Saccharomyces cerevisiae S288C: one gene and its partners. The protein of the gene in region 1 binds, or shares a complex with, the protein of each later gene. Each region holds a gene or a part of one and is shown in the gene's direction. Other genes may lie near its edges. The genes, in order: MRPL40, MRPL51, MRPL16 and MRP20.

The links.
Region 2: MRPL40 (region 1) and MRPL51 share a complex: the UniProt entries of both Saccharomyces cerevisiae proteins name them as parts of the mitochondrial large ribosomal subunit.
Region 3: MRPL40 (region 1) and MRPL16 share a complex: the UniProt entries of both Saccharomyces cerevisiae proteins name them as parts of the mitochondrial large ribosomal subunit.
Region 4: MRPL40 (region 1) and MRP20 share a complex: the UniProt entries of both Saccharomyces cerevisiae proteins name them as parts of the mitochondrial large ribosomal subunit.

Annotation. Positions count from the first base shown.
Region 1 is NC_001148.4:221,537-224,536, forward strand, and holds MRPL40 (mitochondrial 54S ribosomal protein uL24m MRPL40), read left to right. Parts: upstream 1-1,606; coding exon 1,607-2,500; downstream 2,501-3,000. Other genes in the region: NIP100 (Nip100p), read right to left, coding at 1-1,237; COX10 (protoheme IX farnesyltransferase), read right to left, coding at 2,817-3,000. UniProt on the Saccharomyces cerevisiae protein: Component of the mitochondrial ribosome (mitoribosome), a dedicated translation machinery responsible for the synthesis of mitochondrial genome-encoded proteins, including at least some of the essential transmembrane subunits of the mitochondrial respiratory chain.
Region 2 is NC_001148.4:728,064-730,767, forward strand, and holds MRPL51 (mitochondrial 54S ribosomal protein mL43 MRPL51), read left to right. Parts: upstream 1-1,727; coding exon 1,728-2,150; downstream 2,151-2,704. Other genes in the region: LEC1 (Lec1p), read left to right, coding at 1-552; TMH18 (Tmh18p), read right to left, coding at 884-1,322, 1,419-1,465; YPR099C (uncharacterized protein), read right to left, coding at 1,694-2,050; SNT309 (Snt309p), read left to right, coding at 2,429-2,704. UniProt on the Saccharomyces cerevisiae protein: Component of the mitochondrial ribosome (mitoribosome), a dedicated translation machinery responsible for the synthesis of mitochondrial genome-encoded proteins, including at least some of the essential transmembrane subunits of the mitochondrial respiratory chain.
Region 3 is NC_001134.8:144,571-147,433, forward strand, and holds MRPL16 (mitochondrial 54S ribosomal protein uL16m MRPL16), read left to right. Parts: upstream 1-1,616; coding exon 1,617-2,315; downstream 2,316-2,863. Other genes in the region: CTP synthase URA7, read right to left, coding at 1-1,158; APL3 (Apl3p), read left to right, coding at 2,639-2,863. UniProt on the Saccharomyces cerevisiae protein: Component of the mitochondrial ribosome (mitoribosome), a dedicated translation machinery responsible for the synthesis of mitochondrial genome-encoded proteins, including at least some of the essential transmembrane subunits of the mitochondrial respiratory chain.
Region 4 is NC_001136.10:1,275,622-1,278,955, forward strand, and holds MRP20 (mitochondrial 54S ribosomal protein uL23m MRP20), read left to right. Parts: upstream 1-2,024; coding exon 2,025-2,816; downstream 2,817-3,334. Other genes in the region: DIT1 (Dit1p), read left to right, coding at 1-591; DNA-directed RNA polymerase II subunit RPB7, read right to left, coding at 1,033-1,548. UniProt on the Saccharomyces cerevisiae protein: Component of the mitochondrial ribosome (mitoribosome), a dedicated translation machinery responsible for the synthesis of mitochondrial genome-encoded proteins, including at least some of the essential transmembrane subunits of the mitochondrial respiratory chain.

The DNA of each region.
Region 1 (3,000 bases):
CACTTTCGATTACTTCGGCTAAATATTGCAATTGAGAGGAAAGAGCCGCCAAATGTGGTTGTGCAAATGGCTCATATATTTGGTAAAATTTCTTTAGCAATTTATTTTGATATAATTCCTCCTGTAAAGTGTTCACTTTTAGTTCAAGACTTTGAAATTTGTGAGATGTTTTGGCTTCAATAGATTCCAATGTTGCTTTTAATCTTGAATTTTCTTCGATATATGTGCCTGCTATCTCCTTTTCATTTTCCAATGCAGATTGCAAATTACTTAATTGCAGTCTCAGTTCTTGCTCGAGTTGCTCATAGGTAATTCTTAAATTTTCATCCAATTTTTCTTTTGCCTGTAGTTCCTCCAACTCATTGTTTAAAGCCTTTATATTACTTGTGAGTAGGATATTATCATTAGTCAATTTATCAACAATATTAGATGATTTACTTTGAGCTTCAATCTGCAAGGCAAGGTCGCCGATTGTATTATTAGTCTGTTGCAATTGCAGACCTAAATCCGATATTTTTTTAGATAATACTGCATTTTCTTCTAATAACTGAGTATTCTCCTCGAGCAGGTCCTCTTGCACCTTCATAGCTTTATCATATGACAACTTTGTTTGGTCGAGTAGTCCCTGAAGAAGATGGCTCCTTTCTAACAGTGTGCCTTTGTCGAGATCCGGTGCCATTACACTATCTGAAGCATCTAATAGGTGATTGAAATTATCCAAATGAGTTTTCATATTACCATTTTCCACTTTCAGTTCTTTGACTAGTTTATCCAATCTTGAGATTTTAGACAATAGAACAGTTTCATTAGTACTCAGCTTTTCAACGGAAGTTTTCAGCTCATGATTTTCTATTTTAATTTTATTTAATTTGGACGCCAATGATTCACATTTTACTTGTAGATTCTTAATTGTTTCTTGCGCTGCATTACCATTTAGCAAACTATGCTCATCGTCATCTGGTTTATAAAACTGCAACGTATCTTTCTTGCAGAAAAGACCATAATAACCACCATTTGAATTAGCTTTCTTCAGGTCGATATCAAAGTAACGAATACCGTTAGCGCTTCCATCATTCTTTCCTAACGGTTTATCTAGTTCAATGCCGTACCATATGCCTTTTGCAAATTGAGTTTCCCCAATGAATTTCACCCGCCCCTTCATCTCGTTGACTAGAACTGTGTCCTGTAAGCTTATCTTCTGCATATTTGTGTCAACTTGAACACCTGCATTGCGCATTTGTCCAAGGCTGTACTGCGAGGTTGATGGAGATCGAATCTAGAATAGTATTATGTACTTTGCAAAAGTAAAGTACAACATAAAGTCTAGCAGCATATGAGTAACTCTCTACAGTTACGCCAACAATCTCAGTGTGGAGGTTAGAGTAAAAAGAAAGCACCTTACAACTGTACGTTTACATAAGTGACTTTTCAACATATATGCATTTTTTGTTAAGCATTGTAAAATACCCGGTTGAAAAGCGACATGAAAAATAACGACATGTTAGATTCAAAAGTACCTACTGCTCTTTAACAGCTACTTAAGGATTACCTGATAAGAGTAATCCACCGTAAAGAACATTATCAGCAACAAAATTTGTAATCCATCATGTCTGGAAGCTATCAACATTTATCAAACGTTGGATCGCGTGTTATGAAAAGATTGGGGAATCGACCCAAAAACTTTCTTCCTCATAGTGAAAAGTTCATTAAAAAATCTACGCCTGAGTTCATGAAGTCAGATTTAAAGGAAGTAGATGAGAAAACTAGTTTCAAGAGTGAAAAAGAATGGAAGTTTATACCTGGCGACAGAGTAGTAGTAATGAGCGGGGCTTCCAAAGGAAATATAGCTGTAATTAAATCTTTCGATAAAAGAACAAATTCATTCATATTAGATGAGAATGGGCCCACAAAGACTGTTCCAGTTCCTAAACAATTCTGGCTTGAAGGCCAAACATCTCACATGATAACAATTCCAGTTTCAATTTTGGGAAAGGATTTAAGGCTAGTTGCTGATATTGACGATGAAAAGACCCCAGGAAAGACAAGAACGGTGGCAGTAAGGGATGTTTCCTTCAATGGTTCCTACTATGATGCAGACTACAAAAAGGTAATGCCATATAGATGCGTAAAGGGTCAACCAGACTTGATCATTCCATGGCCTAAACCAGACCCAATTGATGTGCAAACGAACTTGGCTACCGATCCTGTAATTGCTAGAGAACAAACATTTTGGGTCGATTCCGTAGTGAGAAACCCTATTCCAAAAAAGGCAATACCAAGTATTCGCAATCCTCATTCTAAGTACAAAAGGGGTACCTTGACAGCGAAAGATATAGCTAAGCTAGTAGCACCTGAGATGCCCCTAACAGAGGTAAGAAAAAGCCATTTGGCAGAAAAAAAGGAGTTGGCTGAGAGAGAAGTACCAAAACTAACTGAAGAGGACATGGAAGCTATTGGGGCGAGGGTTTTTGAATTTTTGGAAAAACAAAAAAGAGAATAAATGTACCAAGTGTATGCACTCTATTTTTATATTTGATTCTCTAGTGTGATTTTTTTAATCAGTATATCCCCTTCACTATTCACGTAGTAAATAAGTTATATTCGACCTGTATATATGAAAGCATAAAGTAAAGTTCAAAGAATATTCAGATATTGATGTGGGCAAACGTGATGACTTCAAATTACAAAATCTTTTCTTTAAAAATAAATTATGTGCGTATGTACATTATTTTTAACCAATAAAAGGGTTTAAATATTTATTTACAAGATTAATGACTGCCCTTTAAGCGTTGTCTCTTTATCTCATTGTACTAATGCTAAAATCGTTCCTGTGGTCGCTTTGCTTCACCAGGATATATCCAATCCCAGCGGCCTTTTTTATGTATAATGGCTAGGATTAGAATTGCCGGTAGGTGCAATACACTAGCCATAAAAGTTTTCCTTGCATAAATGTTGGCTACACTTAGACCTTTATTAAACTTGACGTTATCTTTTAATGTT
Region 2 (2,704 bases), 510 kb from region 1:
GATGTATATTTGAACGATTCAGAGGGCATTTTTGAAGGTTTTATTACTTGGATTACTACGATAGTGAAATTTTTGCAAAAGAGTAAATTCGGAGGACCGAGTGAAAGGATCGACTTCAATAAGTTAATTTGTAGAGATGATATCGATATTGATGTCAAACTTTTGAAAGTTCAAGTTAATAATGTTCTTAATAAAAAGATTGGTGCGAGAAAAATCTATAAGAAGTTGTTAGATTTGAAGGTTAAACAAGGTACTAAACAAAATAACAAACACGCTGCTGGCATACTTCAAAAGAATTGGAGTGACATAAACTCCTTGGTTATGCCATCCAGCTCTGGATCTTTTGGACTTGGAGATGGTGATTTGGTGGATTTGGATCTCGATACAGGTGATTACGATTTTTTACATAAAGAGAATGAAGTTGAATTAGAAAAGCAATACAAAGATTTATTGAATCTTGTTGTTGATGAAAGTGAAATTGATAAATTGAGATCTCAAGTTTTCGCACAGGAATTAAAAAATTATTTAGAAGCTCAAATTGCTAAAAAGTAGGCCCTTTCTAGTATCTCCTTTATTCGTTTTTATTCGTTACGATTTTCCGGCTTAATAATATAGGATTGCTAGGTCTATATATAAGAAAAGCTTGTAGAAATAAAAAAATAGAAAAAACTTCAAGATAAATATTGTTCTCTTTTATTTTAAGATCCTACAAACAGCACAATTCCCCTTTTAGTTATTTTTAGCCAAGATCAGGATAGCAGAGAACTGAGTCCCTTATTCTTTAATTGAGGGTCAAAAAATTCCGATTGCGAACTTCATCTCCACCTTGGCAAAGGAATGACGAAAAAATGATCTTGCATATATATATTTACTTGTAAAATAATTATTTTGGAATTTTTCTTAACAAACCACCTGACAAACAAACACCGTACGCAAGCATCCCGCAAACATTAGAAAGATTGAACAAAAGACTCAATCCGTGCGACTTGCCAAATTCTTTACGTAATATAGCATCCTTTGCTTCCAATTCACTACCCGTGTATTTCTTCGCAATATTCTTTCTTTGTTCTTTAACTTTATGGGTCCAGGGCAACAACCAAAACAAATTGGTTAGCCCACTGACAGATGCAACCACCAAAGAAGATAATGGTCCTGTTGTCAAGGCAATTGGAGCGGTAAGGGCCAGGATGACAGGTGATGCCGCTTGCATTTGGAAAAAATACGGGAAGATCTTATTTTGCAAAGCAGAAAATTGGTCTTTTTCAAGAACTTTGAATGCGATTGGAGAAGCTACATAGGAATAAAACGTCGTTCCTCCAAATCTGAAAGATTAAGTTGGTACATAAAAGTTGTTAGTCAGTTATTCTCAATTAATCATAATTGTTCAAATTTTTTCTTGTGTCTTAATCTGTACATACACAAAGGAATAAAAAAGCAAATGAGCCGTAGTTTTGACTAAACACATTTTTCGTTGTTAAGTTTACTGGACTGTAAAGCGTAGTTTGATCTGCCTATATCATCAAACAACTCCATTTAACTCCCTTAAATAATACTATTCTTTTCTGTAAGTTTATCGCACTATACGTTACGGTGCTTTCCGTCTTTTTCGGATGAGGGATGCTCATAAGAATTACAACAAATCATAAGCCCTGAGATAAAAAAGATCAATCAATACGATTATCATAAACCATGACTAAGTAGATACACAGACACGAATATATGGAGAAATGGTTGTGAAAGCTATTGCACGAAATTCCATAGGTCGTAATGGAGTTGGAGCATTCGTGTTTCCATGCAGAAAGATTACTTTGCAATTCTGTAACTGGGGAGGGTCTTCGGAAGGCATGAGGAAATTTTTGACTTCAAAGAGATTAGATAAATGGGGCCAGGAGTTCCCATGGATACAGTTTGAAGTGATGAGGAAGTCTGGACATCCTTTGTTGAGGGCAGAATACACAAATGGGCGTGAAAAAGTTATTTGTGTGAGAAACTTGAACATTGACAATGTAGAAAACAAGCTAAAGCTATTGAAGGATTCTGATGGAGACATTTTACGCAGAAGAACAAAGAATGATAACGTGGAAAGCTTGAACAGTAGTGTGAGGGGTATATGGTCGCCTCTGCATGCTGCGAAAAGGCATAGAATTTAGCTTTAGTATATAAGAAAATTCTAGAAATAGAGAGAGATAATTATACTTGTATATATAATTTGGGGCAGATAAGACTCCTGATATTTAAGATTTAAAGTCAATTTTGCCATTGTTATATGATCATGTCCTGAAATATGACCTCTTGTATTTGGTTACCCGCTTTACACCCTGCAAATCACACTAGTCTAATAAATATGGAATAAGACTGAAACATATAAAAGATGTAACTTCTAGGATATCTGAAAGAGCAACCGTACGGTATTCAACGTTTAGATTTGATGGACGGCCTTAGCTTTGTTGATAAAGGGAAAATACCAGATGGTTACAAAAATGAAATAGATCAATTAGTAAAGAAGGAATTTGCGAATATAAAAAGAGAGCCTGTTCATCCCGAAATACGAGGTATACTTGCGAAGAGAAAGGGGGCCGATAATAGTGTTTCTACGCTTACAAATGCATTGTACACCGAATACTTGAAACAACGTAATAACAAAAAAAGGCGAACACCGGATTTTAATGACGACGATGATACTTTATTTTTGGAAGAGTATAGA
Region 3 (2,863 bases), on another chromosome or scaffold:
CATACCTTCAGTACCTCTAACACCAAAACCACCGGGGATTAAGATACCGTCTGCGGTACTGACCATGTTCCATGCTTCATGAAATTTAGTTTTGTTGCTTTCTTGTGCTTCAGGTTCCAAATCAGTAGCTTCCACCCATTTAATGTCTAACTTACGACGACACTTCATGGATGAATGTTCCAATGCTTTTATCACTGATAGATAAGAATCTTTCAAGTTGGTGTATTTCCCAACCAAAGCAATCTTCACTGTTTCCATGGATTCATCGAAGTTACCTGTTGTGGCCTTCCATTTAGACAATAATTCCAGGCCTCTTTGTTTTTCTTCTTCTGTAAGTGATATTTCATCTAACTTTAATCTGGCGTGTAAGTAATCAATCATCTTTTGTTCCAGTAGCAACAATGGGACGTGATAAGTAGAATTAACATCGTGAACGTTAACCACCTGTTCAGGCCCCACATGACAAAACATGGCAATCTTATCGATTGTTGGTTTATCCAAAGTTTCACTACATCTACAGGCGATCATATCTGGAACTAAACCAAGAGACCTCAAACCTTTGATGGCAGCTTGAGTTGGCTTAGTTTTTTGTTCACCGTGGATGACAGGAACTAGAGAAACGTGTATCAAGGCAAAATTTTCCTTTCCAACTTTAAATTGGAATTGTCTTAGTGCCTCCACAAAAGGAGCACTTTCAATGTCACCAACTGTCCCACCCAATTCAATGATACAAACATCTGGTTCCATACCGGTGTCATCTACAGGAATTTTGGCCACGCGCTCAATCCAATCTTGGATAGCGTTGGTCAAATGAGGGACAATTTGCACGGTTTTGCCTAAATAGTCACCTTTTCTTTCCTTAGCAATAACGTGCGAGTATATTTTACCAGTAGTAATGTTATGATCTTTAGTCAAAGTAACTCCAAGGTATCTCTCGTAGTTACCCAAGTCCAAATCTGTTTCACCACCGTCGTCAAGCACGAAACATTCACCATGTTCCAAAGGAGACATAGTACCTGCATCAATGTTCATATAAGGGTCAATTTTAATTGACGTAACCTTTAAACCGAGGGTTTTCATTAGCATACCAGTTGAAGATGCAAGAACACCTTTACCGATACCCGAAATGACACCACCTGAAACAACAACGTACTTCATTTTCTGTCTATAAGTTTCTTTTGTTCTATTGACCAATTCACTGAGAAACTGCCTGAAACTTTTTCGACCTTAGAATGGCAGAAAAATGGCAAATACTGTAAAATACTTAACATTTAACTAAATTTTATTCTATGCTTTTCCTCTCGATGAGATGAGCTGTGAAAAATTTTGAAAAAAAAAAAAAAAAAAAAAAAAAAAAAAATTTGTTATCACCAATAACGAGAAACCTAACTCTAAAACTTAGGGTCAAAGAACAGAACCCTAGGCTTTGTATCCAGTTGAATCACTAATTACGAAAGAATGCTGGTGGAAATAATAATATCATATTGGTGCTCAAATAACAAGAAGACTTCTTTGGAAGAAATTATTACCAATTAACAGTCCACTTGTAGAGCGTACATATTGCCGGGAAGTTGATTACCTTTCACCAGAGGTACAGAGGAATAGAATTTTGCAACATGTTCCCCTATTTAACAAGAATGAATTTATCCATAAAGATGGGAGGGCTAACTTTAAAAGAAAGTTCCCCCAATGCTTTTTTAAATAACACCACTATTGCTAGGAGATTCAAGCATGAATATGCCCCACGTTTCAAAATCGTACAGAAAAAGCAAAAAGGTAGAGTGCCAGTTCGTACAGGTGGTTCAATAAAGGGATCCACTTTGCAATTTGGTAAGTACGGATTACGACTGAAAAGCGAAGGTATTAGGATATCCGCGCAACAGCTGAAGGAAGCAGATAACGCAATTATGAGATATGTCAGGCCTTTAAACAATGGTCATTTGTGGAGGCGTTTGTGTACAAACGTTGCTGTATGTATCAAGGGTAACGAAACAAGAATGGGTAAAGGTAAAGGTGGGTTTGACCACTGGATGGTGAGGGTACCCACAGGGAAGATCCTTTTCGAAATAAATGGTGATGATTTGCATGAAAAAGTCGCACGGGAAGCCTTCAGAAAAGCAGGCACCAAGTTACCTGGGGTATATGAATTTGTATCCTTGGATTCTCTGGTTAGAGTTGGATTACATAGTTTCAAAAATCCTAAAGACGACCCAGTGAAGAATTTTTACGATGAAAATGCAAAGAAGCCATCAAAGAAGTATTTGAATATTTTAAAGTCTCAAGAACCACAGTACAAACTCTTCAGAGGACGTTGAACGGATTGAACACACCATGTATACATGTATATAACTATTGAAAAATATCGATATTCACAATCAAGTAATCTAGCCATGGCTATGAGTTTATTAATTCTAGTATGCACTGTATACTCTCTGCGGAAGAATAGGAGTTTTTCCCCGGAGTGAGCGCTGAAGAAACACATGACGACGTGAAAAAACACTTGTTTGATCCAGCTGAGGTATAAACACTGAGAAATATTTGAGGGTCAAAGAAGCACTAGGAACGTTACAGTTGGAATTTGCTAGTCAATCGAGTTTCCAATTTCGCAACCTTTATTATAGTACTAATCTTATAAGCCATGGATCGCAAAAAAACACTTATAAACTCAAGTGTTTCTAATAATAACAGTACCATCAAGGGCCTACAGTTATTCATTGCAGATCTTCGTTCTGCACAACAAGCACAAGAGCAGGAAAAGAGAATACAATCTGAAATTGTCAAAATTAAACAGCATTTCGATGCTGCAAAGAAAAAACAAGGCAATCACGACAGATTAGGTGGCTATCAAAGAAAGAAGTACGTT
Region 4 (3,334 bases), on another chromosome or scaffold:
CAAATCTGTCCTAAGTCCGATTTGTCGAGACAGATTTTGATGAAAGGCTGTGATACAGATGCAGGTCGTTTGAGAAAGCAGATTGCAATAGAAGGACATCCAAGATTGCATCTGTATAGGGGCTTTTCACGTTTTATGATGGAAGATTTATCTCTACTGGAACATTTCCAAAGTTATTCCAGAAAAAAATTCAAGAAAATCATTTCAATGATCGCTTTTAACATGATTAAGAGAAATGACGCGTATTCGAACTTAGTGGAATTGATATTCCCTCATCATTTGAGAATTTCTATTCATGCGCACACTAACAGCGGGCCCAAATTTGGTATAAAAGTAATCTCCAACGAACAGTGTTCTATTGTTAGTTCGTTAGAAGACCTTGATGAACCCAAATTTGAAGATTTTTTACATATTCCCACACCTTGGCATAATTGTGTCGTGAAGGTTGAGGATGAAAAGGAGAAATACTTTTTGACAAAATCAAAAGTAGTCAAGGAGGCTCTCGAAAAGGGTATGTATGATGGTGTATGGAAAGATACTCGTTTCGATATTGGAGAAGGAGGACATTTCGTTATCAAGAAAATCTCTTAATAAAGTAAGAGCGCTACATTGGTCTACCTTTTTGTTCTTTTACTTAAACATTAGTTAGTTCGTTTTCTTTTTCTCATTTTTTTATGTTTCCCCCCCAAAGTTCTGATTTTATAATATTTTATTTCACACAATTCCATTTAACAGAGGGGGAATAGATTCTTTAGCTTAGAAAATTAGTGATCAATATATATTTGCCTTTCTTTTCATCTTTTCAGTGATATTAATGGTTTCGAGACACTGCAATGGCCCTAGTTGTCTAAGAGGATAGATGTTACTGTCAAAGATGATATTTTGAATTTCAATTGACGTAATTAATGATACTATTAATAATACAGAGCGTATATGAAGTATTGCAAATAACATGCACAGTTCTTTTGGGATGAGAATGATAATGAAAGGCGAAGGCGGGCGTTCAGAAAAGCGTTGCGGAGTAACAAGTGATTAAATAGCACCCAAATAATCTTCTTTGATACTACCGATTGCGTGAATAGAACTCACTTGACTGATACAACCTTCAATTTTAACTCTAATTCTACTTTTTATGGTGATGACATCCTCGGAACTTTGGTATGATGGTGGGTTTGAACCCGCATTAAAGGTTAAATCTTGAGGCATCAGATGCTTTGTCACAAATACTTTCATTGGACCTACTTGCACTTCGAACCCGTGCTGAGAACATGAAACGACTGTGCCGTCCACTACTTCCCCTTTAAATGGTTTGAAAACTACAGCTCTATATTTCACGTTGAACTCGGCGGACCCATCTGTGGGCAATATTCTCCCACGTTGAATATCTATATTATCATAGTCTAGGACACAAAGAATATATCCGAATTTACCCGTACACGAACCTTCAACCTCTTCCAATAGTTTTGTCTTTAGATATTGCTTCATTCGAGGACCGAAAAAGGACGGATGAAGGGTAATATTAAGCGAAAGGTCTTTAATAAAAAACATTCTCAGAAATTGAGTTATTTATACAGTGGTTGAAATGTGAATCTATTCTTGGACTTTCCCACTGTCTAATCGCAAAGGAGAATGGTGTAGGAGGAGAAACGGAAAAAGAAAGGCTATGATATTCTGGGAGAAGAGATAGGTGGACAGACCTGATCGACCCAATGTTAGAGAATAAATCGACGAAGTGAGCTTGTCTACGTTATTGGCATTTTCACTGGGATATAGGAATACCGCATTTATTTTCCTTGTATTTTTCAAAATAGCCGTTGAAACCCACAGAAGATCACTTAATACGTAATCGCGTTATACGAATTTTCTCGATGAAAAAGGGAAAACGATGGTATTAGAACTTGAAATGTACATACATTTCTTGTGGAGAACGTAACGCTACTAACAAATAATGTGCTTTGATTAGCAGGCTCCAACAGAAAAAAAAATAAAATAAAAATAAAAAGTACGCAACACCAACACAGAATATGCCACGATTGACGGTTGGAACGAAGAATATGTTGTATCCTTTGCAAAAAACACTTGCAGTAGGAAGTTGCAAGCCAGAGCAGGTTCCAATAAGATCACTAGCCTCAGTGGTGGAGAGTTCCTCCAAAATACTCGACAAAAGCGGCAGCGATCGCGAAGTAGATATAAACGTAAGCGAGAAGATTTATAAGTGGACAAAGGCGGGCATAGAGCAGGGAAAGGAGCATTTCAAAGTTGGAGGTAACAAAGTCTACTTTCCCAAGGCCAGGATCATCCTCTTGAGGCCCAACGCGAAGCACACACCGTATCAAGCAAAATTCATCGTCCCAAAATCGTTCAACAAACTGGATCTCAGAGACTATCTTTATCATATCTACGGCTTAAGAGCAATGAACATTACGACGCAGCTGCTTCATGGGAAGTTTAACCGTATGAACCTACAGACGACGCGGTTTAGAGAACCGCAGATCAAGAAAATGACTATCGAGATGGAAGAACCCTTCATTTGGCCCGAAGAACCCCGTCCGGACGAAAACTCCTTCTGGGACAGCACCACGCCTGACAACATGGAAAAGTACCGTGAAGAAAGACTTAACTGCTTGGGCTCAGACGCCAACAAACCCGGCACAGCATTCGACGGAGTCGTGGGGCCTTACGAACGGGTGGCCCAGCCTTTTATACCTCGCTTCTTAAAACGAGAGATAGACAATAAGCGAGAGCGTCACGCCGCCGAACTGCAGCGCGCAGATAAACTAATTGCCCTGAACAGGTACATAGAAGATCTACATTAGAAGGTTTCCCATTCCACCCCTTCGTTAACCCACACGCAAATACCCAGATAAGCATCTTGCACCCCTCACACTTGTATATACGGAGCAAACTACATAATCTCTAAACAGAAAAAAAAAAAAAGAAAGAAAATTAAGAACATTACTTTTTCCGAGCAACAAACGCAAAAATATATGAAGTGGCTGTAGAACATGCCTTACGGAAGAAAAGAATGATGATGGCATCCCCTTCCCCTGCCCTGGAAGGTGGCCTGTATTTCTGTTCTTTTTTTATTTTTGTTCGCGCAAAGAGCAAGAACATTGGTTGCTTTACTTATTATTTTCAGGGTCGCTTCCGCGGGATGCCATGCACGGATGCCTGCGGAGACAGTGGCGCGGAGCCGTCCGCATGCTCGTTCCGCGGAGAGTCTCGAGCGGGTCCGCGAGGGGCGGATCTGCAACGCACGGTGCCGGGGTTAAGGTATGGCACGATGGTAAGACGATGAGGGAAAAGAATACTGCTACTGCTGTGCGAGACTTTG